Linked DNA regions of Alligator mississippiensis. The protein of the gene in region 4 interacts with the protein of the main gene of each other region in a biochemical or structural test. Links are inferred from orthologs where the notes say so. Each region holds a gene or a part of one and is shown on either strand. Other genes may lie near its edges.

Region 1 (6,922 bases), on a different chromosome or scaffold from region 4:
TACAGAAAATGGATTTGATTCCATTTTTCTTGCTCACCCCAAACTACTATTGTTGCCAAGTAGTAATATACATGCAGAATGTTTCTAAACAGAATCTTTCCAAAGTTTGATAGGAAGTAGTTTTACAAGTCTGTCAGCTATGTCTGTAGATTGGCAAGTCGACAAGTGCTATATGGGGGGCGAGAAGGCAAAGCAGCCTTTTTACCACAAAGACTATTAACTCACTCTGTGGTAGAGGGATGACTCAGGCAAACCAAGTTAGGCAGCTAGAACTGACACAACCCCAACTTGAGCAAGCCGCAGACTCTCTACAGCCACTATTCTAGCCAAAGAACCATAATAACGGTTTGCAAATTGCTGAGAAGTCCGTTGGTTCCCAGCCACTGCATCTATCAAAACGTGGATCCAATGACCTCAATAAAGACCTATTCAGAGCTGCCTGAACAATACGTAGGGAACATGGAGGGCCGCCTTTGTGGCTGCTCCAATAGTGTCCCACTGCACAAACCTAACACAGGGCCAAACCGTCATAAATTTCACCTTAACTAAAGTGGGCTATATTTTTGGTGGTACCAGTTACTCTAGTAGCTGGTCTATATATTTATTTATAAAACTATTATCTTGTCATACTATATTTATAAAATAAAATAATGAGATACTGTTCCTATCATCTTTTCCATTAAGCTTTCTTTATTATTATTATTATTATTTGCATTAGAGTAGCACCTAACATCCCCAATTATGTGCAGGGCTTCATTCTACGCTTCTATCTATGTGCACAGTAAGGCACAGTCCCTGTTCCAAAGAGCTAGACTCTCTGGCTCTGATGCAGCTAGGACTGAGGTCTGGTCTGCACTACAAAGTTTTGCTGACATAGATACGATAACTAGGGGTATGAAAAGATAGCAAATACCCTTGAGAAGTTAAATATGGTGGCAAAGCCCCCAGTCTACATGCAACTTCACTGACAAAAAGAAGGTATTTGCCACAATTAAGTTTCTGTTGTTGGAGACGGTATAACTACATGAGCCTCTGTCTGCATACACTGCATCTCCAGCCTCTGACAACAAAGATGCACCAGCAGTGGCAGTAGCTCTGTAATGTAGACTGACCCTCAATTTTGGATTTTTTGCACTGTGTAAATTAAGAATATGTTTGAATCTTTGCAAGACTGAATCCTACACAGGCAAGAGAAGAAGAAAAATTATCACTTGTGTTTCACAGAGGGGGAGACTGAGGCACAGAGAGACTGACTTGTTTATGTTCACAAAGGCAGGTAACAGGTCACAACCGTTGTTGCTTATCGCACTGCCCATAAACTCCTTTTTCTCCACTTAAGTGTATGTTGCCTTTTGTCTTATCATTACATTGTAAATTCTTTGGTGCTGGGGTGACCTTTTTGGTTACCTGTTTGTCAGGAACCTAGTACCACAAGGGTCTCTACATACAAACTAGTGTTGCACAGTAGTGCCAAGAACAGCATTCCCTTAACCGCAGTCCAATACCTCAATTACAAGGCAATTCTTCCTCAATTATGTGAATGTATTTTGCAAACATAGGTTTTTAAAATACCAACAATTGATCTCCTTCATTCTTTTGCTCATTATCTGGTAAAGTTCAATAGCAAAGAGCTGGCGCAGGTGCCAATAGGTAGGTCAAAGGTTCTATTTCTGCTCTGTACGGGGAAAAAAAAAAAAAAAAATCACCTGCCTCTAATTTCACCTTCAGACAAATACCAATCCCTCTACTATTCAGGAGAAAAGCCAGAACTGGAATACTTGGGCTACCTGTCCGATCATACGAAAGACTATATTGTATGTTGGGGTGTGGTATAAGGTTTCAAAACCCCCTGAATTGGGAACACAAGAGGAATTGCTGTATGGCAAGAGGCATGACTGTATCATAAGTGAGTTTATTTCATGCCTTTCACACAAACTCCAAATTGTAACCTATGTTTGCCATGGGGGGGGGGCAGAGTTTTTTTTTGAGGAATAGAGAAAAATATAAAAAGGCGGAAACAACAATATTAAGCCCCTGGCTAAACAAAACCTTGGCTGGGATGATCTAGTCGGGGATGGCTCTGCTTTGAGCAGGAGGCTGCCATAGATGCCCTCCTGAGGTCCCTTGCAGCCCTCGTCTTCTATGAGGAGGCTGACAACCGCCCAGTGCAGGAGCTCTGGGTAGCATTTTAAAACATGCCTCTAATGCTTACAGGGGGGAGGAAAAGGTACAAAATAGGAGGCCTAAATAAAACAAAACACGCTCCCCACACAAGCCAATGCTTACAGGGGCAGCATCATGTGGCCCCGGGGCCAGGTGAGGGATGCCCGGGCCCCGCAGCTGCCCTTCCCCCCACAACACAAGCCACCTTGCAAGGAGGGGCTGGGCCGCGGCCCGCGGGGAAAGCCCCTTCCCGCGCCCGGGAAGCCCCCGCAGCCAGGCGGGGCCGCCGGCTCCCTCCCGCCCGGGCCCGGGTCCGGGCCGCCAATGGCGCCGCGGCACAAAGGGGAGCGGTGCCGCGCAGGGACTCACCCGGTCGATGGTGCCGGGCAGCAGGCGGTCGAGCAGGCGGCACAGCACCACGCCGTCCTTGAGCGACGCCTGCAGAAAGCCCTCGGGGTCCGCGATGCTCTTCTTGGGCGACTCCAGCACGCCCAGGGTGATGAGCCACGTTACGGTCTGCTCGGCCGAGCTCATGGCTGCGGCCGCCCCGCGCCCTTCACATAGGAGCGACGCGGGCTGCAGGAGCCGCCTTCGCCGTCCCCCGTCCCTGTCCCTGCCCTTCCCCGCGCCGATGTAGCGGGCGACGCCCCGCGCGGCAGCGCCGGGAGCTCCCGCTGTGCTCGGCCCGGCCCCCACGTGACGCCGCTGGCGGCTGCGGCCCCCTAGCGTCCGCGGCCCGGGCGTGGGGAGCCTGCGGGCCGGGTAGGGCCGCGCCGCGCGTGTCACACGCGTGACCTTCGCACGTCTCTGGGCGGCACGCGAACAAAGAGCGGGCAGGATCTCTCTCTCACACACGCACACGGGAGTCTCGGGCAGGCACCATCTGGCAGAGCATTTAAATCCCCTCCCCCTGCAGCCCCGCTGGGGGCCCAGATGAAGTCTCCGCTGAGGCCTACACGGCCTCTTGTCCCCCGAAGGGCGGGGTCAGCGTCTGCTCAGGTGACTTGGAGTTGTGCTCCCTCTTCCTCGAGGGATACCTTTACTCAAGTTAGTCTATGAAGGCGTCCATCTCCCCTGCCTTGTGTCAGCCAAACCCTCTCCTCACCCCTCAGCAACCCAGGAGTCCCTTGAATTCAATATGCAGCCAGGTAAATTCCGCGGCAGTCTTTCTGGACTAGATTTGCTCCGCCTTGAGTTTGCCCTGTGTCGAGTACGGGTTTCCCTCGCTTTATGCTGTACGTGCGTTCCTGGAAAAACTGCGCATAACTCTGAGTCGCATAAAGGGAACCCACTTTACAATGTAACAAATAGGGATACTTCCAAGACCTTGATTGTACTGACCCCCAGACCCATTTCTACAGGACAATGTCTACTCTCCAACAGCAGACAGTACACACCAGCACAGGGCACTATCATAATGGGGATGGCAACTACAGAAACACATGTCGCAGACAACCCGCAAGGAGCACAGATCCACACAGGAGACTATATTTTGGTGCGCATCACTCCCACAATGCACCGCACAAAGTAGCTGACTGCGGGTTTCCACCACACCAATCGCATAAGAGTGAATTTATGTCGTATATAATGACTTTTTGGTATAAAAAGGGTAATTGCATAAGAGCGAATTCACCCATACAGAACCCACATAAAGTAAGAGAAACCTGTAGCGCAGATCTAAAAGAACAGACAGATTTGCGCTATGTGCCCTCTGGTGGAGGGTTGGTTAGTGCCACTTGGTAGCAGTCTGCGAGCTCGCTCGACAAACCAATGCAGAGGCATGTCATGTATGTCTGGGGCAGCGTCATGTGTTTGGCATGTCTGGGACAGCGATTCTCAACCCCAGGAAGGCCTCGAGAGTCTTTCAAGGGTGCCCTGGTCTGACAGGCTATGTTAGCACAGTTAGGTGTGCAAAGACTCTAAGATAAACCCAGAGATTTCAAATAGTGCTGAAGCCATTCTGCCCTGTTATGGGCTGAGTTCTATGCAACAAAACAAACTAAAAAAATTAACAAAACAAAACAAAAAATCGCTTCATTATTTTTCTGTATTCAAACCAGGAGCAAAAGCTAATAGTCTGCATTTTCTAAGGAGTTTCCTTGAGTCCATCTATGGGTGCCATGCGCCTAAGAAGGTTGAGAACCACTGGTCTAGCGCGAGTGCTTTAGGACGGCTGCGTTTGAGAGCCACTAGCATTGTCCATAAAGCCAGACAGACCCTAGAAGGAAAAGAAATAGCAGAAATGAAGGACATCCCCCAGAAAACTGCAGTAGCCTGAAAAAGCAAAATTTGGCCACAGCAAGTAAAGATGTGCTGTATAGGGCTGCTGGAAGCCTTTGGGAGCTTCATATTAAAATGCTCTCGTCAAACCAAAAGAGACTTGTGATGGCTTCTCCACTTTGATAAACTTGACACACTCCACATACTACCAAGTCATCCCTGACAGTGATGACATCCCTGGGTTACATGAAAATATTCCTGAAGAAAAAATGTTTTCCCTCTTAGGAACATACTAAACTGCAGTTGATTTTAAAAATCCCAGGGTGAAGATACCTCCTGAATTCCCCTACAAAGCTACACATCTATTTCAAATTACACAAGCTGAACAGGGGGCACTGAATGACCATATTATATTAGATTCATTTTAATTCATCATTTTTTTGGTTATAGTTAGAGTGTTTTTCTTTAAAAAGGAGAAAACGTGAATGGATTCATCAGCCTTTTTATGTCCTTTCTGCAAGCAAGCTCATCACAGAAAATACAGCTCAATGGAAAGCTGAAAGGGATTATTTTTATGGGATCGCCTTCTAGGAACATTGGCAGCACATTCCTGGCCCAACTGATCCCATTTGCACATTTTTCTCATTTGCTTACAATTTATATGAGCAATGAAGCCAATTACTAACACTATGTATGGTGGCTAAAGTGCTGGCTTTTCTTCCTGTGTTCACTTCCAGTCATCATGTCTGCAGTCTGCCATATGTTTCACTGGTTTATTTTCTGTGACTTTCCACAATGATGGTTTCTGGTAGCAGCTGAGAGCCTGACATAAATACTTAGAAATATTTTGAACATTAACCTGCCAAAAATTATGTGTGCCTTTTTTCCCCCAATTAATCTACTTGTATGAGGAAAATTATCCCTGTGTTGAAAGCCTTGCCTAGACTAGACTAGATGTGAGGAGAGTAAACTAGGATTAATATTTTTCAGTGTTAAAGCATCCACCGCAAGGTGCAAAGTTGTGTTAAAACTGTGTTAACTAATATATTTTCAAACAAAATCTACCTTTCTTATTTACATAAGGCTTCTGGCATTCCAGGATTTAGCCCGTTGTTAACAGCCTGTCCAATTTTGCTGTATGCTACTGCCAAATCAGCTTCTTATGTATATAGGAACTGTTATTCAGGATATGTATATAGGAATTGTTATTCAGGATCTGACCAATGATGCATCTAATTCAGTATCCTATCGCTGAGCATGGCTGACACCAGATGCTTCTGAGGAAGATGCAGGTGCCCTTGCAATAGGCAGACATGAGATAATTTGACTCATGACATTATGTCTCCTAATCCCTACTAGTTACAGACTTTCTTAAACACTGGAGGATGAGGTTGAATATCGCTTTTTTATGTTAGCATTATCTTTTGTAGCTTTTGCTTTTCTCCTTCAGTTTTACTATAAGGCACACCACTGTACAGAATGAATAGAGGACCACTCAGCATGGCTAACAGTATAAAATACCGCACTGGAAAACCTCTAAGCAAACTTGCTTCCATCATAGGAACCCGTAAAAAAGTTTTCAACCATTTCCAGAGAGAAACTTTCAAAAGGGCCTAAGAGATGTAAGTACATAAATCCCTTTAACTTTCACCTTCTGCATGTGGACTTCAGAAAAGAAAGACAGGTTTGTGTGTAACCAAGCATACACACAAGCCAGCAGGAACAGCTGCAGAAGCAACTTCCCCAGGGATCCAGGGGCCTTTAGACACTGATGCCACCAAGCTGTTTTCTGCAGTGAACGTTTTCTGCCCTTTACCGATTGGCTGCTGGCTTCAACTTCCCCCTCCCGCACAGTCTCCTCAGCCTGGTTCTAGCTGCCCTTCATGCCCTTCTCTTCTGTTCTCTGACACCTCCCATTCCTACCTCCACTCTTCCTTTTGCTGCCTGTTGTTCATTTTCACTAATCACTTCCTTTCTTCTATTCTGTCAACCTTGCCTTATAATGTATTAAACACAAATAATAAACAAAAGCCCCACCATAGTTACTTAAAAATTCAGAATGTTTTTAACACTATGGGTTCCTATTTGATATCCCGGTTTATCTCATGAATCATATTTGCACACCTAATGGTTCTAACATTGCGTGGCACTGCAGCACCCCTGAAAGAATCTCAAAGCACCCCAGCGCTGGTTGAGAATTACAATCTCTGGTTTAAGTGCTACCATAACCCAAATGATAAATCATAAACATTATTCTTAGCCTTCACCCCTTTTAATTGGAAACAAATCTACTTCACTGTTAAAGCTGATAAATATATTTGTTGATTGATCTGTATGTGGTTTTTGGCCCTCTTTTGTTTCAAATTGTCTGTAAGCTGATCTTTACTCCCACTTAAACACACATCATACATGATCATACCTAACTCCTCTGAAAATATTCAGCTAATCAGAGGGCATTTTTTGCTATTGTAGAAACTTTAATCCTCTTAAACATATGAGCAGCCCGGGGAAAAATGATTGGGATATTGGTACCCAATCT
Region 2 (7,738 bases), about 130 Mb from region 4:
GTCAAGTTGCCCAAGCCTCTCATTTCAAGACATATCTGTACAATACTCAAAAATAGGACTCGTCAGAATTGGGACCCCATACTACAGATAGGTAACAACTTACAGAGACAGAAACTTAGTCAACCAAGCCCATGGCATATCTGGATATAATAGCATGCTGTCCATTAGCATGAGTGCTGAGACTACAAATGTCATGATTCATCAGCATTTAAACTGTGAAGGCTAAAATACATGCATGCTTTCAATCCTTATTTTACACTGAAGACAGTTCAAAAAGGGTGAAAACAGCTAGGCTTGCAACTAAAGAACAAGAAAATGGATGGGAAGGGATTCAAGTAAAGCATCTTTGCACATATTCTTCCATCCAAATCCCAGCCTTCAACTTGCCCATGAAAACCACGTGCAAGAAAATCCAGCACTTCTAGCTAAAAATCAGCATGGACCATCTTCTGGTCAGTCCAAACAGCTCACCTGGAAAAACTGCACATAGCACAGACAATGACTGAGAATTTGCCCCTCCACATAGATTTTGTCGAGTCAAGCACTGTAGATACATTATAAAAAAAGCAACAAAATGTGTCCATAGTTTATTTTTAAATTCCAATGACAATGGTTTTTAAATATTCTCCCCACCCTTATTACAAGAGCCTGTAATGAAGTTGGCCATAAACAGGGAAATTAACAAGCCTTTTTTCATTGTCCACTGTGCAAAAAGCTGCAGAGAGCCTGACTGCAGCATGAAAAATTTAGATTATTAAAGCTAAGCATCTTAAATCTGATTTATGAGGAACAGAGGTTAAATAAAATCTGTACCTGATGTCTGCATTTCAGGCATGCCAATGAGCTTCTTTTCATCTCCTTTGCAGAGCTGTTAAAAAGTCAGCCAGTGTACTGCACAGGTAGATGAATTGGATCAGTCAGGCAATATGCTCTGAACAGACCACTGAAGTAACAGAAACCTTAACCCGTTTCTGCAACACGTTCTAGGCAGTTCATAATGACAGGCTAAGTCTTGGTTGCCACCGGAGTTCTACCCCACACAGAGGTTCGGTAAGCCAAAGGAAGGAGAAACGACATGTAGGATGATGGCAGCTGCCTCCCAGAGAGGCAAGGTGGGGATCGTTCTATTTTTTGATGTGATTAACAGTACCTCAAAAAACCCCACATCTCTTTCCTACCCGAACCCTCCCAGACACTCACATTCTTTGGAAAAGAAGAAAACAATTAGCATTCCACCTCCTTGGTCTCAAATAAGCCGTCTCCGCTTCCGATGAGTTTAACAGTTCAAATCTAGGTGACCAGGTGCAACATGCTTTGTGCTTACTACAATGAAGTGGCTGCCAGTATCTGCCAAGGGCTTTCCCTTTCCATTTACAAACAGAAAAAGCAAAAAAAAAAAAAAAGAGAGAGAAGACTGTCTCATAAGAGATGGAAAATGACCTTGGGTGGCACAATGTTTAGAAATGGGGTTGGACCCACATTCCTGTGTCCAGGGTAATTCCACAGTTAGAAGTAATTAACAGTATATGGGGGAAAAAAAAGAGGTAACAGAAACAGATCAATTTTAGCATAATAGAGAAAACCACTCTGTGAAGAATGAGGATACACATACTGGCAGACAAAGGGGTTTCTCCTCTCCTTAAACTACAGGAATATACCACAATCTTTACCCATTCAATGAGAATCACACTAGGCATCCATTTATGCTGCCATACCAGGGGCGTGACCAGCTGCTATACAGTATACTCAGGGATTTTACAAGACCATTTCAGACAGTGATTTAGAAAAAGCATGCAAGAGAGAAAATCACATACGTAATCCTAGTGAACCTTGCATTTCTGTAACCCCCCCCCCAAAAAAAAAAAAAAAAAGCAGAAAGGAGCAAAATACCTATCAGGGATTTGCCTGCCTATTGTAACCCTACTCATGGCTATTACTATCATTATCAATTGCATCAAATAAGGTGATTCAGACACTGTGCATTCAAAGGGGTGCTCCCCCAAGGCTATAGGAAACCTAAGGCTCAAGAATTATAAACATAAATCACACAATGCTGACCAGCGCTGGGCAACAAAGCAACCTAACTCCTAGACACGATGACCTAAATCTCTCTCCTTCCCTCCCCCCTCGATTTCTACGATTAAAAAGAGACAGCGGCATGCAGGGAGTACCTTTTTTATTTCTTCACCTGACAACCCGAAGGCAAGCGTCCCCCCACGTTAAAAGCAGGATTCTCCCTGCAATACCGAGGATGTGACAGACTGCAAAATATGGCACCTCGGATGTAAAAAGGAAAAAAAAAGCCCATCCTTTCTCTCTCTCTCTCCAGATCCACACCTACTGCAGTACCCACAGCCAACCTCTCATTCGCCATCACCACCACCACCGCGGCCGTCCCCCCGCCAGGAAACCCACCCTGCCGCCGGGAACGACTCCCCAAAATACTGGGAGACAGGAGGGGGAACGAGAGGAGGGGGGCACCTCCGCCCTGAAATGCACGGCTGCCTGGGCGCAAGGTGCAGCAGGGCGGGCAGGCGGCGCCCACCGCTGCCGGGGGCAACAGAAGCCTTCTGCCACCGAGACCCCGGCGAGGGGGGGCCCCGCCGGCGGGCTGGGGCTCACGCACCCCGCCCCGTTTTGGAGGGGGAAAGTCTCGCAGCGAGCGGGGCTGAGGCGCACCCCCCCAACCACTATCGGCTTCTCTTCCCCTTGCAAAGACGCTGGGCTGGGGCTGGGGCCGGGCAGAGGCTGCAGTCCCAAGCCTCCGCGGTGGGGGTGGGTGTGGGTGCCCGTGCCCGTGCCCGTGCCCGTGCCCCCGCCCCGGGCGCTCACCTGCCCGCGGCCGCTGCAGGAGCTGGTGGAGTGGCGCGCGCAGCCGGCAGCAGGGGAGTGACAGCCGCGCGCTCCGGAACCTTCGCCGAGCCCGCGCCGGCCCGGGCCGCCGCCAGGGGGAGCAGCCGCGCGCACGAGCACCACAGCCAAGCCGCGTACGCATACGCAGAAGCGCCGCCAAAGAGCGCTCCAGTGCGCGTGCGTACAAGCGCTGCACCCCACCCCGCCGCCGCTGGACGCGGGCGCATGTGCAGAAAGCGCGGCTCTCCGCCCTGCTCCTTTGTCTGAGAGAAGCGGCTTCTCCCCGCCCGAGGATGGGGCACAAACGCAGGTGCGCAAGGCGTGCCCGAAACCGAGCCTCGCTCTAGGCGGCTGGAAGCCCCAAGACAGGGTCACTGGCGGCCTCCAAAAGGCCCCACAGCCCGGGGTGGTCTCGTCACAGACGGGCGCAGCCCCGGTTGGGGGGCCGTGCAGCTCTTTCTCGAAGTTAGGCAAGGGCGCGTTTCATCAGAGCCACTGGTGATACGTAGGGGGTGCATGCAGGTGTACGTGCACCCCCTGAGATTGGCAGTGCACCCCTGCGAAGAGCACCACTGATGCTGCCAGTGGCACTTGCAAGCAGTCGCTGCTCACCGTCCCCCTTCCCCACCGCCAACACGGTCTGCTGGTGGTCCCTGATCGCCACTGGTGGCATCTCTGGGTGGTTGCCAATTGCTGGTCAGGGCTTGCCAGCCACCCATGCCGCCAACACCACTGTGGCAGGCTGCGGGAGCTCCCTGCTTGCCGCCACAACACCCCCGCTGCTGCTACTGCTGCCACCTGCCCCCCCCCAGCCTCCGGGGGGCACGCCGTGTTTATGATGGGAGCACAATTCATTTGCAGACACCTCACCCGCTTTCTACCTGCCTCAGGTGAGGCAAACGTATTGCGGGCTCCAATCTCACTGACTTTTTATTAAGCACGTCTCTCCCTGAGAACTGTTGTTTCACATAAGGAGCTTGAACACTGACCTTTGCTAGGTGATGATGATGATAGAAAATCAGGGCTGGAAGGGACCTCAGGAGGTCATTTAGTCCAGTCTCCCACTGGAAGCAGCATCATCCCTCTCTAGACCTGCTGGTGTTTGGTTCACCTGGCTCTTTAAAAAATTCCAGTGTTGGAGATTTCTCAACCCCCCCCAGCAGTCAGTTCAGTCCTTACCTACCCTTACGCTAGAGACGTTCTTCCTACCATCCAACCTAAATTCTTTTGTTGCAATTTAAGATGTTTATTTCTTAAGACTGTCCCACAGGGGACAAGAGATTGCCATCCTCTTTATAACAATACTTCATGTATTTGAAGCCAGATCAAATCACTCCTCAATTTTCTCTTCTCCATATGAAATAATCCCAGTTCTTGCAAGCTTTCTTTGTATGCCAGGTTTTTCAGACTTCTAATAATTTTTGTGGCTCTCACTAAACTCTTTCCAACTTGTCTATGTCTTACTTGAAGATATGCAAGGACATATTTAATCAGGGCATGCAACAGCAGTCAAGGTAGATGGGACAAAGATCTGGACAACTGTAATAAGGGCTACACCAGATCAAAAGTATGAATGTAGTATCTGGACCTGCTGAAGGTAATTCGGGTCACTTCAGGATACTCCTCTCCCCTGGCAAAACAGGAACAGTGATCATGTCAACATTATGGATCCGTAAGATAAAAAGAGACCTACCTACCTGGCTGAAAATGCATTCATTATAAGATGCTTCTCCCCTGTTAGCAAACATTATCTGTCTCATTCCATTTGCCTTAAAAACAGTTTATTTTCATCCAAGACCTTTTTTTGATCAGGCACTGGAAGAGGAAGAAAACCGCAGAACTCAGGTGTAAGGTAAGGAAGACAAGCATACCAACTATACAGCTCAACATACTTAACAATTTCTAGATCACTCAGATATTAAGAGAAGTTGCAACAAGCAGAATACTGAAGGGCCTAATTAACAAAAAACTGTTAGGAGGATGGGCAATATCCCATAGTCCTTTTGCAACTCACCAAAAAAAAAAAAAAAAAGAGTTGGTATGGTTGTGTCTATACATCTCAAGGCAGTGCCCTGCAGATATATAACTAGCTCTAAACTAGTATGGAAGAAAGTCTGTGCACTCCTCCTGGTGGTGACAGGTTTCAGAACCCTAACCAAAGAAGTGGTCCTCTACAAACACTTGACCAAACAACAAGGGGCCCCATCAGTTTATCTCTTGCTTTAGGTATGCCTTGTGGAAAAGCCAGGAACCTGCTCATCAAGAGACACTTGGACCCCACAGACAAGGACTGTATTAAAATGGGGCTGAGTGAAATGTACTGGTACTACACAAAAACAGAAGAGGACAACGGAAAAGAAATGACAGACCTCATCTGGTGGAGAGGAGACTGCCATTAACTTTTTCAGAGGCAAACCCTCTGAAAGGACAGTGGGTGAAACTACTGGAATGGTGATGGGCATTGGCGATGTGTAGGGGGTGCATGTGCACCCCCTGAGCATGGCATTGCACCCCTATGAAAAGGTGCTGCCGACACTGTCACCGGCACCTGCGGGCAGTTGCTGCCCCCACCCCCAACCACTGACACTGATGCAAAAAAAACTGAGTTAGCTTTATGACTGTCTTATGCCATTCAGACATACCCTATAAAAGCAATCCATTTTCCTGTCAGGACTCACACATACATACATACCTTGATCAAGTATGACCATGATCTGCTGAAAGACAAAACTGTTATGAAGATTATGGTCAACTATCCTCTTATTCATCAAAGAAAAAACAAATCTTCAGACAAAGGATATCAGTGAAGGTCTCTATGGTACACCTAGATCTGAAGCCAGAATGATAAAGCTCCACAGACATATAGTCAATTCTCCACTTGAAGTCTTTAAACCATGATCAAATGACTTTTAAAAATATTCTCTAGTTTAACCACAACACATTTGCCTGAGGCAGGAATTCTTGTTGAATTCTACACCTATGTTATGCAAGAGGTTCTAGTAGATCAGAATGGTTTCTTCTAGCCATAATATGCACAAATACCAAAGAATCTAGATGATGCTGAAGATGGATCACTACTACATTCTTTAAAAAATCACCAAACTATTTTTTCAGTATGAAGAGTATGGTTTCTTGAGCAAGATCCAAACTCACATTTGATTTAAATTGGCAGGTGTCTTCCCTTTACAGGAAGGTATGGACTTTTCTCCACAAGGAGGAAGCAAGGTTTTGCTAAGCTAATGTCACCAAGCACTTTCAAAACCAGCGAGACTAGAATGTAAACCAATCTCCAGAACTGATATGATGTGAAGGTACCAGACAATCTGTCATGAATTACTCTTGTCTTCTCTGAAGTTAATGGGAAAATTCTTCAGAGAGAAATATTTGACCCTGCTTCCATTAGAAGGCAATCAAAACTAAAGAGGTTGCCTATCACATAGCACATTTCAATTAGTCTAGACTTCATAACACAAAGAAATCTCCTTAGTCTTGCTAGCCCACGGACATTATAGAAACATCTGCCATTATCAGTTGAATTCGGTATGCATTTTCTTTCAGTGGGCATTGCAGTTTTCTTCTTGTTCCTTTACCTGTTGAAGACCAGCTCTAAAGTACAATGCCTTGTAAGGATATTGGAGGAGAAAGGTGCCTGGGAGTATATCAGCAACCATAAGAAAAAACATTGATATTCAGCCAATAGGTCTTAGTCTCAGCCAACAGATCATCTAAATAGCCAGAATATTGAAAAAAGGGGATGGGTCTAGACCTCTTTGGCTTGGAGAAAGTGAAGCACTCGTCAACTTATGACAATGGTGAGATCAACATATCTTTTATATCAATTAACAGATACAGCACATGTCCACCCAAGAAGTCCATGCAATTGAAGACAGCCCTTGGACCAGATTATTTAACAGAGACAAATTAAATTTTGATACCAGAGAATAACTGCTTTTGGAAGACAGATTCTATTTTGCTTTGGACACCTTCAAATATATAATTAATGGTTACATTAATAGGAATTTTTATGTTATGCCTCCAAAGCACTGCCAGTTGCTTCACGGTAGGCATGCATGTGCTAGAAAACTTTTCCATACAGTTTTAAAATCAGTGGAACTAAGCACATTTTATCAACAGTTATAGCCAAGTGTAGATTCAGTTTTAGGCAATTTGACCTGTTTTACTAACCCAAGTAAAATCAATCCCAGAGTTGCACGCTACTACAAGGGCAACCTGGAGAACAGAAAACCCAGGCGATCTTGTCTCCAATCCTTCATTAACAACTAGACTATACTTCCCTAATTAAAAATATATATAAAAAGGGAGTTCTGTATCTGATTAACCCTCATGTCTCCTTCTGGCTTTTCACTTCTATTTTTCATCATAAATTCTTTTCCCCTGCATGACCTCTGTCAGAAATCTGTTCTGAGACCATAAGCTTTCTTTTGATTTTCTCTTTAAAGATTCCCAGGGAAAAAAAAAAGAAACCTTAAACCAGTCTAACAAAGGATCCCTCCTGCAGTTTCTCCACAAAATCCAATTACAGGGAATAAGTAACCATGAAATACCAGACAATAATTCCATTGAGGGATCTCTGTTAAGTTCATAAACCTAAAAAGCATAGCCTGAGAAGTTTGTCCCTAGAGCCCAAGTGGAATTTCCCTGTCATTCACTTATAATTTTTTAATAATATCCATCACAAAGACCCATGTACATTAACCATGTACCTGCAAGAACATAATATTAACAAATATATAGACAAGCATTTTGCATTTCACTGATTAAATTCTCACCTCCCACATGGAAGATCTGGGTTCAGTTCCCAGTGTGTAGAGAAGGAAGGGTGGTCTAGAGTTTACAGGACTAGCCTAGGACCTGGGAGACCCAG
Region 3 (7,058 bases), on a different chromosome or scaffold from region 4:
ACACAGGCAGAAAGGGCTACCCAGTGGAAAAAATAATTCATTACCATTAAGCTCCTGGTAATATCTTGTTAACTAAGTCACGCCTTGCTTTTATTTTGAGATTATCAAGAAATCTAAAGCTTTTTACAAAGATGGGTCCGTTTCATTACCCCTTTACCCTAGACAAACCCTGCTTGGAGAGTAATTTGGCAAAGACCACAGCCCAATTCAATGGCAGAGGTCACGAGTACAAGCCTTGGAGACTCCACTCCAGTGAAAAGCTTAAAACCACCAGCTTCTTCAGAATTAAACAGAGCACCCCCCCTCACTTTGCCAAGATTTCGGACATGGCTCTGACAAGTAGCATTACCAACTCATGTAAAATGGACATCAATTATATTCATATTCACATGGTTCTACTGCAATAGCAACAAGCTGCTGTAGCAGCAGGTAACAAAGAGACCACTTATAGTAGTATATCACAGAGGACAGTTTCAGTTGGTCAAAGCAACAAGTTAAAAATCAACCTTCACATGCAAGAATCTCTAATAAACTGCACTGTAGTAGAATGGAAACCCTTCATTTGGTCAGACTGCATTTGCTCTTGTATGTGCTCACAGGTACACTTGACTCTTTTCCAGACTAACTGCTCCTTTCAAACTGAACCTTCCAGGCAGGTCAAATGAAGGCACTGCTTTTGTCATAACAACCTGCTGGAAGGACTATTTTAGGAGAGGAGGCATTCAGCTCTATGGTGCCCACCACCCCTATTCCTGACATGCAGGGTGTGGCACAGTCATCATTTCCATAGATAGGCACCTAAATGAAGTAGTCTGTTTTGTACAACTGCTAGGCATCTACAAGACCCACTGGTGTCAATGAGCAATACTGAACACATACACCTGCCAAAGTCAACCTGCTTCTATGAGAGGAGCCAGCTATGGACTTTGAAATCCAACATTAACCAACATCAAAAATTTTAAATCAGAAAAGCCATCTCCCCAAGCTTGCATGAATCTGGATGGTCAGAGGTTGGCTGGAATTGGCCTGGCCTGGACCAGTTTTTTCTACCCTTACTCACATTCCCTCCATAGCTGTAGCTTTTTAGCACTACAGCCACAACCAGCAATCCACCAACAGGCCTCAGAATAAGTCAGTCTAAAGAAAGAATTATTTTTCCCCTCTCATTACTAGACAGAAGGGACAGAAATTCCACTTTCACATGGGGACCCCAAATAATCAAGAGAAACACACAACCCTTATTAAGCTATTAATACCTCGCCTGAGTAACTGAAATAAGAAAATGAAAATACACTGAAAAAAAAATCAAAGTACCCCATCTTCAGATGAAAGGAGATCATAACCAGATAACGTTTCCTGCCCAGCTGAGGCTGAAGTCTTCTCTCAAACATACCAGTAGCTTTAACTCCACTGTACCACTCAAAGCAGATTTTCTTCCACTGAGAGCACAGTGTGTGAACCCTGATTTAATAAGTGAATTTGAAAAAAATGACCCTGCCCGCCCCCCCCCCCCCCCAATGCCTTTGTTGGGATGGGTGCCATATAAATCTAAATAAATAAACAATAAATGTTATCTATCTCTTACAAAAGGCATGCAAGCCAGTGACACATGCATACTACAATCTGCATGAAAGGATTATCCAGCAGTTACAATAGCTGGAAATTGCTAGAGATATATACCAGGTAAATATAACAACTTTCCTCCCGCTAAGTCACTGATTTATGTTTCTCAGCAGACCTCAAACTACAACTAAACACACAAATACGTGTGAATACATAACCTAAAAGAATCTGTTTCTCTTCCTGTTATTATTTGGAGGGGAGAGAGGGTTGCAGAGGGGAAATAGGATTTTGCTCCTAATGCATCTGCCTGCTAATGCCTTTGCTGAATCCACTTAACTGTAGATTCAAGATTCCTGTAAATTCAAGAAATCCTTTGAAAAGAAAGGACAAATTATTATGCAGGGTCTCACATAACTGCCTAGCTGCACCTCCAACCTCGGCTCTGACTGCCTCACCCTTCTGCCACCACGCAGACGGCCAACTCAGGTGTTCAGGCAGCTCCTCCTTGCCAGCTGATACGGCACCAGGATCAGTTATTACAAGGGTCTATCCAGATCAGCACTAAGATTTATTCCTGCATGACAAAACATGAAGACCGTACATCTTCAAGGCCCCCTGGATGGCTAGCATACCCTTACAGTTACATCCGTTCAAGAGCCAACGTAAAGGCCTGTGAAAATAATGAGATATGACCAGCTCAAAGGGCTCAATCCAGTAAAGCATCAGAAGGGCAGCAGGGATATTGAGACCCCTCTTGCAGAGTGCATGTGCTGAACTAGGAGTCACAGCACGACTCAACCCTCCTTCCACCAGAGAAAACAGGTCACCAAAAGAGCCCCTTGAGTACAACCCTGGTATCATCGTTACCAGCCCACCGCCCAGGCCAAAAGCCACGTGCAGTGGAAAGCAGCCCACTACCAAGGCTCTGAGCAGTGCCCTGGGAAGGCTGGAGGGACTCCGAGTATTTCGGGAGAAAGCTGCCAGGAGGGAGGGAGGGGTCCCGGCGGTCCGCACTCCGGGAAAGGCAGGAGGGCGCTCAGGCTGCGTCCGGGGCCAGACCGAGAAGTCAGGGGCTGAACTGACAGCAGGGAAGACGTGCACAGCGCCGGACAGGCCACCCTGTCTGCGGGTAGGGGCGAGGCGAGGCGAGGCGGGGCTCCCCGAGCCCACTCCGGGAGGCGTTCCTGCGGGCGGCCCCGGCCTGCAGCCAGGCGCCCGCCCTCACGGCTCGGGCTCGAGCCAGGGCCAGGGCCAGGGCCCAGCCTCGGCCACAGGGCCCAGGGGCCCGAGCCTGCTGGGAGTGCCCCGCCCCGCTCACCGGCGGCGCAGTGCCGGGCCCCGGCGCTGGGGGGCGCTGGCGGCAGCAGGAAGCGCGCGGGGGCGCGGGCCCGGGCCGGGCGGAGCAGCGCACGGACGGCGGCGGCGGCCATGGCTGAGCGTGCTGGAGGCGGGGGCGGGACTGCAGGCACCCGGCGCCGCCCCGCCCCGCTCGTCCCCCCAGCGCCTGGAGCACGTGTTGAACGGGGCCAAGCGAGACCCCGGCGGCGCTGCGCGCCCTGCTGGCTCGTGGGCTGAGCTGCTCTGCTCGTGCGCTGGCTGAGAAGCTGCAGAGCTCCGCCTCCCCCCCACTGCTCGGGCCTGGCTGCCACAGCCGCGTCTGCGTGCGGGCCGGGCCGGGAGCTGGAGGGAGCCGTGTCCGCTTGCAGCGCAGGTTGCTTCAGTGCAAGGGAACATGGTTTCCTTTGCTTCTCCACCAAGCGATCCTGGCAGGGGAAATGCCATGTATCTGGGTTCATGCAGGCAGCTCGGAATAACTGCTTTTCTGGCTGGTTTAGTAGCCCGAGGTGTTGGGGCTTAAAGCCCACGGTATGGAAAGGGGAGGCTCCTCCCTTGCTTGCTCGTGTGGCTGAGCGCAGGTGAAACGCGGGGGCATCCGAACCCCGAGCCTCCGGGCTTGGGCCTGCAAGTAGGATGCCTGCCAAAAGACTTTGGAAATATCTGAAGCGCCTGGTGGGGATGGAGGATGTTTGCCAGGTCAGGGCCACTTATGGTTCTGGACTGGCTCCTGGATTTGGACTTGATTTGGCTTGGAATAACAGGGTGGAGTTTGACCCATAGCTGAGGGGGCAGAGGACATGGGAAACAAGGAGGCCAGGACCAGGCAGAGACAGGGGCTGGGGCAATCACACTGCCTGACCGGGGGGCACTGAAGACGGTGCTCCTGCTGCTGCTGATAGGCGCTGCTCTAGTCTTCCCCGCTCGGAACATGTGGTTGGCAGAGTCCAGAGCCACCCATGTTTTCTTTTGGCGCTCCACATGGGAGAAAGGTGGCAAGGGCCAAGCTGTTCAAAGCGAAACAGTCCTGAGGCAAAGGGATGCCAGATGTCCTGCTCTTCCTCTGGGCCAAGTACATGAGCCAGGTTTGCAAACGCAACGGGTGGGATCTAAAACAGCCAGCTTAAGTATTTTGTAGGGCAGCTGCTGTGACAGTGGCAAGCGCACACAACAGCTAGTGGGAGCCCATATTTTCCCCACGGTTTTACAAGCTTCTGAAGTGCTTTAGAGAGAAATGCAAACTGCAGGATGCTACCCTATGGGGACTAAGTGCAAGTTTTATTCTCCCAGCACAATCAAGGCATATATGCTCAAGAGGGCAGAGAAAGTACTTAAAGGTCATCCTCAAGGCTAGCTTGAAAAAAATGCAATATCGACATCAGCTCATGGGAGACTTACCCAGGACTGCCCCAAATGGAGGAAGACTCTGCTGCAAGGTTCTCAGTACTTTGAAACCTCACAATGACAACAGGAGATGGAAAAGTGGGAGCAGCAGAAACAGCATGTTTTGGACTGAATCAAGAACCCAGAGCCACCCATGGAAACATGTGCCTGAGCTGCAACATAGTCTGTTGATCTTGGATAGGCCTCATCAGTCATCTACAGACCCACAGATAAGATAATCATGAAAGACAATCATGTTTAGCTGCAAAGGATTTTGGATGATTAGTTCAGATGGCCTTTAGCTGGTGCCGGCTCACTTTTTCCTTGTAATAAGCCCTGTTTCATTTGCTTATTTGCTTACAAGCAGGGAAATTTGCACACACTAGAGCACCCAATCAGAATGTACTTCCCCAGCTTTCTGGTTGAGGCATGAACCAGGTTGAGGCTGGTAGGAGCTGTTAAGCTCCTAAATTTGAACCCAGCCCTTGTTACTCGCAGTAAGGTTACTCTTGCTTTGTATTTCCTCTTGGTTTCACATCTAGTGATCCTGCTTCACTTAAGGTCTTGGATGGTCTTGCCTTTGTTAAGTGCTGTTGCTCCAGGTAGCTGTAGCTTTATTCAGCTGCTACTGTGTGCCTACCAGAGGTTCATCTGTAAGTCTCTCGAAATAGGTGTCTTTTGTGAAGTATTCCTAATTGCCCTTCTTTCACAGCAAAGTACTGATAGTCTGCTGTAGTAAAGTTGTGCAGGTTCAACCATATGTTCACAACAATGAATTGTATGGTGACTCCATCCTATTTCTAACCAAGATGGAGAAAGAAAGTTGTAATATCTATTTCCATTGGAGTCTGCCAAAAAGTGGCTTGACAAACATCCCTCTCATGGTTTAGGAAGAGAAAATCTTGCCTTTTGTAGGAAGTTGGACTACAGGTTTCCCTCAATTTATGCAGGTTCTGTATATGAGAATTCGCTCGTATGCGATGACTCTTTTTATACCCCAAATTCGTTATATGCAAGGTAAATTCACTCTTATGCGATCAGCATAGGCACGCTCCCCCCTCCCCCAAGCAGATAAGTCTGTGAGGGGAGGGGAAAGGGCTGGGAGGGGAAGGGAGGGGAAAAGACCATGGGGCCAGGGCCCCACTCACCCCAGCCCCTACTGCAGCTGCTCTGGGAGCGGCCAATGCCAGCAGCTTGCAGCTGTGGACTGCACCACGCCCCAAACCCCCAAGGCTCTGCTTCCCCATTCACCCCTGCTGCAGGGGCCCCAGGAGTAGCAGATGCCAGCTGCCCACACCAAGGAGGGCTGTGGGGCTGTGCCAGGCTCTGCAGCCTCTGCATGCAGAGCAAGAGCAGGCTGCCATTGCAAGCTGGAGCCGGCAGCAGCACTGGGCCCTTCATGGTGTTCAGGGCTGGCGGCTGACTGCTTTTGTCCTGCTGCAGGCTGGGGCTGATGGCAACACTGGGCTCTTCCTGGTGTTTGGGGCAGGCCGCAGTGATGGGAGAGCGGCGCTGCCACCCCTAAATTTGCCGTAGCCCCACCTGCCCTCCAAGAGCTGCCGCCAAGCAGCAGGAAGAGCCCAGTGCTGCTGCCACCCCCAGCCTGCTCTTGTCCAGTTGCAGGCTGCCACCCACCCCGAGCACCAGGAGAAGCCCAGTGCCACCCCTGCTGCAGCACCCAGGGGTGGCTTACACTACCTGCTTGCAGCCACTGGGCTGCACCGCACCCTTCTCCCTGCCCCTTCCCTAGCCCCAGTCTCACTCCCTCCCTCACCACGGTAGGAATGTATCCCTATTTGTTACGTTATAAACTGGGTTCCCTTTATATGAATTCTGTTTATGCGCAGTTTTCCAGGAACGCATCTACTGCATAAATCGAGGGAAACCTGTATGTGACCATGATGGTCCTTCCAAACGTACAGGTAGGAAGGACTTGGGGCTATGTTGAAGTGCCAATATCACTTGAAGCTCTGGCTATCAGTGCAGTGGCCTGAATTGTATTTCTTTTCAAACCGTTTATGTTGTTCCCTGAAACTTGCAGTAACTGTTTTTTATAATATGCAATATAAAAACATTCCTCAATCTTTAAGTTGTTTCTTTTTTCTAGGATTCCTCTCTGATAATTTCCTTGTCCACAAGTGAATGAGCCTTAGCCTCTGTTGGGTTTGTCCTCAAATAATTTGGCTGCTTGATTCTATTTTCATTTACTAATTGTTTTGTGATCTCATGTTACAGTGCCAAGGATTAGGGCCGCTTTGTATTAGGCCCTATAGACACACTTGCAGTAGGAGCTAGTGTCTTAGCGAAGGAGTTTTTGTCCCTTTTGGTTTTTACGCTACTGTTTGTATAAGCTTATATTCAACCTGTATGAGTACAAGTGCTGACCTGTGGGGACCTAATGTTTGAAGAAGTCTGCTTCCCTGCTTGCCCTTCCATTCCTGAAAAACTAAAACACAAAGGCATTTTTCATTATCATTGGGTATAGGGAAGACTGGAAAATGAAATTGTGGGGCATTGGCATGTGATTTTTTTTTTCTTTTCTTTTCTTTTCTTTTTGCCCAAAGGTAGTCAGCCTTTCCCAGAGTCAGGTTACTGGAGCCTGGACTTAGTAGTTTGTCTGAAGTTTTTTTGTATATGAGCCTTAAAAGGTAACCTTTGGCCACATGGGCTGCTTGTACATGTAATGGGGTTTAATCCTCATTAAATTAAATAGGTTTATTACATTTAAAATTGTTTATTTTAAAATGTCGCATCAGTGTGTGCACGTGGTAGTCTTT
Region 4 (7,315 bases):
TTTTTAAAATCTAAAAGTTTTCCACTTCTTACAGAGTGGAAGAAGAGGACTTCTTGCACAGTCCAACTTGTATTGGTGCCCACATTATTAATCTGAAAGGAGGAGACAAGGAGACTTCTACTTTGCACACTTGATGGACAACAACACAGCAAGTTATTTTGTGACCAGCTGAACCAGGAGGAAATATATTCATCACCTCAAATGCAGCCCTTACTCAAAGGTAAAAATGCAGGTCATTCATTTCAGTGCCACAAAACCAGAAGAGCTACTGATCCATTTACTTGTCCAGACAACTGGAAAGTAATGTAGGCAGACTGCTTCAAAATCCAGGACTACAGTGTACCACTGCAGCAGTAAACTCAGCCTCAAATGTCGCAGTTATTGGGCTTGACTCATATCAGACATAGCAAAGAGCACCGAATACATCAGTGCATTATACTTCTAAAATATTATGAAAATAGTAAGTGGGGAAAGTGAAATTACAGCATTTTAAAGATATGAGTTCCACACTGGCTGAGGATTCACCACTTAAAATAAAACTAAGGCACCCTAAGAGTGCATCCAGACGAGTGCACACGGGATTTGCAGCACCACAGACCCGTCAGTGGTGCCACAAACCAAATGCACTGCACGTGCAGATATTCGCTGCACTGCTAATTTAAAAACCCATGCCAAAAAAAAGAGTGGGGTGGCACACATGGTGGCAGCATGTGCCACCCAAAACCAGAGCCTAGCTTACCGGAGCCATTCTTCAGTTTCTAGTCAGGCTCCGTGTGCTCGGATCACCACTGCTGGAGCCCCGGGACCCCTGGACCTAGGTAAGGCTGCTGAGGACAGGGTAGGTGTGCTGATCCCAGCCTCCCCTTCCCGACATGGGGCAACTTGCCATGTGCCACAGCACGCATGCACAGGTGTTCCCCAGGGACACATACTAATAGCACTCCTATGCACCACTATTTGGCCCTGGCGAAACACATGTGAACACTTGTTTGGAGGCTCCCTAAAAATCTAATGTGGACTCATAAAAGCTAAGATACTCAAAACTGAAGTTGAAACTAAAGGTTACATTAAGTACGGAGATAAGAATAATGGATTTATTTACCTGGCCAAATTCTCAAGTAACTACTTTCTTCCCCATTTTGTTCTGAAAACTCCCTCTGTGGTTTCAGTAGGATGTGATATTTTTCCCTTCCTGTTCTAAATTTTCGTGCAACCTGGCTAAGTATTATTAAATCACTGTTCAACTCTTAACATGGATTGAAGATGAATCCCCATATCTTTCTTAATTACTTAATTTCTTAATTACTTAATTTCTTAAATGTTTCCTATTTGCAAAATGCTTAGAGGTTCTCAAACTAAAGCAGCAGTTGGAATTATTATTATTGTAATAACTACACGTCATAGAATGAAGCAAAGACACAAATTCATGCTTTAATCCAGTGGTTGGCAAAGGTTTTGGGCAGCAGGCTGGAGTGATCCATCTTGGGTCCAAGGCAAGCTGGAATTAATACCTGGCTACTGCCAGCACTTCTCCCTGCTGCCCATCGGTGGCTCAGGAGAAGCCCCTTGTTTCCAAAGCCCCATCCAGCTCCATGGGCTGGATCCAACGGCTCTGTGGGCTGGATCCAGCTCCCAGGGTATAGGTTCCCAACTGCTGCTTTAATCAAAATTTTTTAACATTGCAAATTCTCACTTGTTCTTTCCCCATTACTTAGATCAGCTATTTACAATTTAAGTCAACAACCTGACATTTTAAAAGACACCAAGAAGGTTCTAATGATGCCACTTCCTTTCTAAATGCAAAGCACCCGTCCAAACATTGTATCATCTGTAACCATCCGCTAAAGGTAAAGCATCAAATTATTTGACTGCTGAGAAGACTGACTGCTCCCACCAGCACTAGCCTATTCAGTTTGGAAAAACTGAAAGCTATTCAGGCCTATTCAATTTAGAAAAGAGAGGCGGGGGGGGGGGGGGGCGGACACGATAAGGGTTTACAAAATATTGAACAGCAAAAAGAAAGTAGACAGGGATTTATCATTCACTCTCACAATACAAGAACTAGGGGTCATAAAACAGAACTACCAAGTAGTCAGTTTAAAACTAAAAAAGGGAAGTTCTTTTTTCTGCAGCGAGTCATTGAAGTGTGGCGCTCACTGCCACCGACAGTTGCCCATTTACCTAGATGCAAAAAGGGCCGGGACAAACTTTTGGAGGAAGAGGGTGGGTAGCTATTGAAGGTGGGGATGTCCGAATCAGAACTGCCTACACCAGTGGTTCCCAATCTGCGGTACAGGTACTAGACCACCTGTCAGCAGTACATGTTAACAGACGTATTATAATGACTCGATAGGACAAAAAGTTGCTGGTGGTACTGGTAAAGGCCGTATCGTTTTAAACTAGTGGGGTGCCATCTGTCAGGCTTTGGGAGCCGCTGTCCTAGACCTTAAATGTGAAGGCTGCATATGAGAGGGGAACGGGAGCGGGGGACGGGACGGGATGGGACGCCCTGCTCAGACCCAGCTCGCTTTCCGAGTTACGCCGCAAAAGCCCATCGGCGTTTCCCCGCGGTCCCCCCCGCTCCCAGCCCGGGCCACGCAGCGCTGAGCTGCGCGCCAGGGGAAGCCGAGCCGCGCCCCCGCGGGCCGGGGTCACCTACCTGCTGCAGCTCGGCGGCGCTTACGTAGGAGTCCAGCACCACCAGCAGCGGCACGTGGGCGGCGCGGCCGCGGAAGAGCGCGGGGGCTGCGCGGGGAGAGGAGACGCGTTACAGCCGCGGCCCGGCTGGGGGGGACAGGGGACGGGAGGAGAGGGCGGGGGGGCGGTCTCACCGTCGGGCAGCGCCGCCAGCGCCAGCAGGTCGCGCAGCGTCTGCACGAGCGTGTCCAGGCGCTGCCCGTCCCGCACGTGCCGCAGCCTCACGAGCAGCTTGGCGAGGGCCGCCTCGTCCCGCGGCTCGGCCATGGCCCCGCGCCGCCCCGCATCTGTCCCGCCCGGGCGGGGCCGGCGCTGCCCCAGGACGCCTGTAGGCGGCGCTGCCGCGGCTCCTCCCCCGGAGGCGGTGCCACTGACAGCCGTGCTGTCCAATCGGGTGGCGGCGCTGGTACTGCGGGCCCACCCCCGTCCTTATAAGGGAGGGCGCCGCGGCGAGCGGCTGTTATTATGAGCTGGGCAGAGGGGGTCGGCGTCGTGGGGGTGGGGTCTCCTCACCCGCCCGTCTTCCCGTCCGCTTCTCAGAGCACTGAGCGAGGGGGAGCGTGCGGGGCGCTGTGTCGCCCTCCCAGCCCTGGCGTGAGGCGGTGCGGGGCCCCGCAGCCTGTCGAGTAGGGAGGGGGCCTGGGCCTTCGCCATGAGGAGGGGAGGAGCGAGTCGCAGCTGCGGCAGACCCAGGCAGAGGGTTCCAGAAAGAGTTACAAGCCCACGAAAGAGCAGATGAAACTGCGTTGAGCAACCCCACAGCCCCGGCTGCGCGCAGGGATGGGGCTGAATTGCGGGTTCCCGTCCCCAGAGGGGGATTGGGGGTCATCGGTGGGTCTCCAAGGTCAGGGCTGCTGCTGTGAGTGTCCAGCTGACCAGACGAACAGGATATGAAGTGCTGCTAGGAAAGGGAATGAAGCAGAGACACTGTTGTGTCCCTAGAAAGTCCGCACTGAACTTTCCTATGCTGGAAGTAGCGAAGGAAAAGTGCCGAAGGAAAAGAGCAGGGGCACGAAAGATCAGTCAGGCCTGCAGAATGGCCTCCAAATAAGGAGAAGCTGAAAAGGCTGAAAGGTTTCAGCTTGGGAAAACCGCCATCTAGAAAAATCCATGGAATGAAAAAAAGAATTGGTGGAACTAGGTCTTGAATCTAGCAAGCCTTGTGTACGTGTAACACCTTTTCATACAGTCTTAGGGTGGCTTATAACAGAAGGGGGAGAACTACAGGGACGGAATAAAATAATGAGAGTACAACCCCTTCCCTCTTCCCTAAAGTGGGGGGAAGAATTGAAAGTGATCCTCCCCAACCACTTCTGCTCTTTGTCCCTGACCAGTGAAAATATCCTTCTACACAGCTTTATTTCTTAACCCACATCCAATGCTAGGAGTCGCCTAAAACAAAAATACTTTTGTGAAATTCATTGTCCTGGGATGTTCAAGCCAGTAATATTGAGTGGGTTAGGTGGTACTTTATGGAGGACAGGTTTATAGGGGACTATTGTCTATAACATTCAAAGTCAAAACAGCATTAACCTGCTGCTCACCAAAATGGTATGATACTGGATAGAACTCTACAAATTTCCTGTTTCTTTTAGTTTCTCGAAAGCAACCATTATTTGCCACTGTCAAAGTATGGGATACCGAAGTTGATCCTTAGCCTAAGCTAGTACAGCAGTTCTTAAGTGGGGGCTGGGTAAGAAAGCAAACCTGAGATCTATGCAGCCAACCTGACAACCCCCTTTGAAGGTGGAGCAAGCTGGGCTGTGACCTGTTTACCTCCCAGTGTGGCTGTTGGGGACCACGTGGTGATATTCTCCAACTAACATGACTTGGAGGGCCTCATGGGGTTTATCACTGAGGTGGTAAAAAGGGTGAATAGAGCCAAGCTTACTAAGTAAGGGTGTTTGGAAGAGATGGAGAGTGATGTGCTCCTTCATCTTGCTGACATGTCTTTTGGAGAGCTAAGTCTGTGATCTGGTTTCCCAGACTGGGGTTGTAGAGCTTTTGCATAGAAGAAAAATCGCTTCCACTTGATTATATCTAGTTATAGAAACTCAATTTCACAAAACAAATGGTCAATTCAGTAAAGAAAATATTGATAACCTTTTATGGTAGGCCAACTCAAAAAGCAATCAAAGCAAATTTTCTAGCCTTAATGTAGGTATCTGGTTATAAATCAGTGCACTTTCTTTGTGCCTATGTAAACACCTTTAAGAAAATTAAAATTACAATATTTTAATCACATTGATTTAATAAATTTCAAACACACAACCTGACATGTTTTCATAGTAGTTATAACAGCTGCCAATAAACATCAAATCATTCCTAAAGCATGGCTTGCAAGAATAAGAAATGGGAATATTTTTGCCATGATTAGCAAACTATTTTAAGGAAACATGGAGCAAAACTAATAGTAGAAAAGCTAAACATTATATATACTGTCTAACTTTTTTTAACCTCTAACTGCCTTATTTTTGGCACTTTTCGCTGCTCTTGCAAGGTGAAAAGTTAAATTGCCGGCAGCTGTCACTAAATTGCTAGAAGTTAAATTCGTAAGTTGTCATCAAATGAACACTAGTTCCCACAGAACTGTGCTAAATAAAGAGGGAGGAAATGAATAACTTCACCAAGCTTATCTCTGGTTTTTAATGTTTTAGCCATTTTGAACAATAACAACAAAAGCTGGAAATATTTGGCTGTTTTGAAGCTAACTTGATTTTTTTCTTAATGCTTGGCTCTTGGGCAATCAGTTCAGGGAAGTCTCCTTTATTAAAAAGGTTGGTTATTTTGAGTGACAAGCATTCTGAACTGCATTTGGATCTCTGGTTATTGCAAATACTTAGTAGCTAGCCAATCTCAGGGCTGTCAGCTTTTGTTGTAGTGCTGGTACTGTCTCAACCTTAAGTCTCATTCAAAGAAACTTTTGTACTATTTCTTAATTATAGACCATAGACTATGACTACATTTGGCCATGATGAATGATCTTATCTCCCTTCAAAGTTCTAGAAGACAAAACATTGACCTGGGGTAATTTAAGCATGGAACAGCGATTCATTTTTAGAAACTAGTTGAGTGCCTTTTCATTTGGACTAGTGCAAGCACCTGTAATGACAAAGTCAGTTGAATAAAAATAGATCCACTTCAGTCAGAGGCTCCTGACTACCCTCAAGCAACAAACATAGATACCTCAACTTCACTGCTTCACTCTATCACGTAGTTGACCTTCAATTTATTGTCATGTGATGTTTTATGAGATTATGCTAATATTTATTATTTATTGTGTGATGCTCAGTGTCACAGTAATATACTTGTGGGGGGGAGCACCAACAGGATGCTCACCACTTAAGGGCTGTTGCAGGCTCTGAGTGAGCCTACTTTGTGAGCAGCAGGGAAAGCCCCCATCCCCGGAACCATTTTAAGGGGGAACATAGGTGGCAGAGCACCTTTGGTGTCTGAGGAGAGCAGGCAGCAGACAAGTGTAGGCCAGCCCTGGTGAGGCGGCCATTTTAAGATCCTGGCTCTCAGGGCTGAGAGCAGCAGTTTTCTGCCAGCAGCCAAGGGAGCAACAACACCCAGGTATGCTGCTGCTCATGGAGCATCTTGGAGTTAAGGTCAGGAGCTATTGGGGATGGCAGGAGGCTCCTGGTCCTGGGTATTGTCACAACCCAGTTAATCAGTGCCCATGCCACTAGCAAGAGATACCATTCAAGTAGCCAACTAAGGGTTAAAAAAGAAATCCTTGCTCCTGAAACAAAATCCTGGCAGAGAGCTGTATATAATTTATGCCCATGTCACAAACAAGAAACGAAACTGGTCATGGTGAAAGGGTATAGCCCTGCCATAAATCCCTGCAATTGGTCAAGAAACAAGCGTAAGTCCCTCATCATAACCTCATATGTAACAGGAAGAAAACCTAACCCACTACCTTGTAACCTGATAGCAACCTGAGAGCACAAAGAACTGCTGCTTGCCAGAAAATTAAAGATTTCACATAACGGTTCATCATTGGGTATCTCCGTCAGACACCTCTGTCTATAAATAGTTTAGCAACTTCCGCCCAGATGGAGAACCCCGGAGAAACCTCTGAGGAGAGACCTGAGTCCATCACCAGAGTAGATTGATGGTCTGATCAGCTGTCAATACTCCCCGTCATCGTAAATCTTGACGTATCAAAGCCCTGCAGGCACGATAGCACGTTTTCGGCGCCACGTCCATCATTGCTTGGCTGTAACCCGTACGTTTGACTGTAATCGATGCAACTGTAGCAGAACAAAGGCTAAGCCTGCATCGCACGTCACTATCTGGGCGACGTAAGTAAACAATCTCCTATAACCAACACGCATCTGTGCCTGGTTAATTTCACCCCATCCATCACTACCCGCCTGTCAGGTAAAAGTTTTACTGCTTCGGTGGGGGGGGTCAGAAGGCAGCTGCTGGCCGGCTGCTCTGATTCCCGACAGGTATGACTGAAAACTGCACTCCGCTGGGGAGTCCCCCAGGAATGCCAGTCCAGTTACCTTTCTGGTGAAAGGCGAGGAGGGGCGCCTTAAAACCCCAGCCCCCCCTATTTTAGTGGGTTATTAAGATCAGAGGGGAGCAGAGCCAGGCATACCGATGG

What was found.
Region 1: of the proteins of LRRK2 (region 4) and ARHGEF7, one has a biochemical effect on the other in vitro, tested with the Homo sapiens proteins (2 studies listed by BioGRID and IntAct). The link is inferred for Alligator mississippiensis from reciprocal best matches to the Homo sapiens genes LRRK2 and ARHGEF7.
Region 2: of the proteins of LRRK2 (region 4) and MAPT, one has a biochemical effect on the other in vitro, tested with the Homo sapiens proteins (3 studies listed by BioGRID and IntAct). The link is inferred for Alligator mississippiensis from reciprocal best matches to the Homo sapiens genes LRRK2 and MAPT.
Region 3: the proteins of LRRK2 (region 4) and ECHS1 interact on a protein array, tested with the Homo sapiens proteins (2 studies listed by BioGRID and IntAct, with this or other methods). The link is inferred for Alligator mississippiensis from reciprocal best matches to the Homo sapiens genes LRRK2 and ECHS1.

The regions. Positions count from the first base shown.
Region 1 is NC_081824.1:353,744,512-353,751,433, forward strand, and holds the start of ARHGEF7 (rho guanine nucleotide exchange factor 7), read right to left. Parts: upstream 3,021-6,922; 5' UTR 2,698-3,020; coding exon 2,533-2,697; intron 1-2,532. UniProt on the Homo sapiens protein: Acts as a RAC1 guanine nucleotide exchange factor (GEF) and can induce membrane ruffling. Functions in cell migration, attachment and cell spreading. Promotes targeting of RAC1 to focal adhesions. May function as a positive regulator of apoptosis.
Region 2 is NC_081827.1:159,259,811-159,267,548, forward strand, and holds the start of MAPT (microtubule-associated protein tau), read right to left. Parts: upstream 3,011-7,738; 5' UTR 2,996-3,010; coding exon 2,833-2,995; intron 2,280-2,832; exon of another isoform or gene 2,172-2,279; intron 1-2,171. UniProt on the Homo sapiens protein: Promotes microtubule assembly and stability, and might be involved in the establishment and maintenance of neuronal polarity.
Region 3 is NC_081829.1:24,317,723-24,324,780, forward strand, and holds the start of ECHS1 (enoyl-CoA hydratase, mitochondrial), read right to left. Parts: upstream 3,009-7,058; 5' UTR 2,994-3,008; coding exon 2,882-2,993; intron 1-2,881. UniProt on the Homo sapiens protein: Converts unsaturated trans-2-enoyl-CoA species ((2E)-enoyl-CoA) to the corresponding (3S)-3hydroxyacyl-CoA species through addition of a water molecule to the double bond.
Region 4 is NC_081827.1:28,643,985-28,651,299, forward strand, and holds the start of LRRK2 (leucine-rich repeat serine/threonine-protein kinase 2), read right to left. Parts: upstream 3,016-7,315; 5' UTR 2,965-3,015; coding exon 2,832-2,964; intron 2,746-2,831; coding exon 2,660-2,745; intron 1-2,659. UniProt on the Homo sapiens protein: Serine/threonine-protein kinase which phosphorylates a broad range of proteins involved in multiple processes such as neuronal plasticity, innate immunity, autophagy, and vesicle trafficking.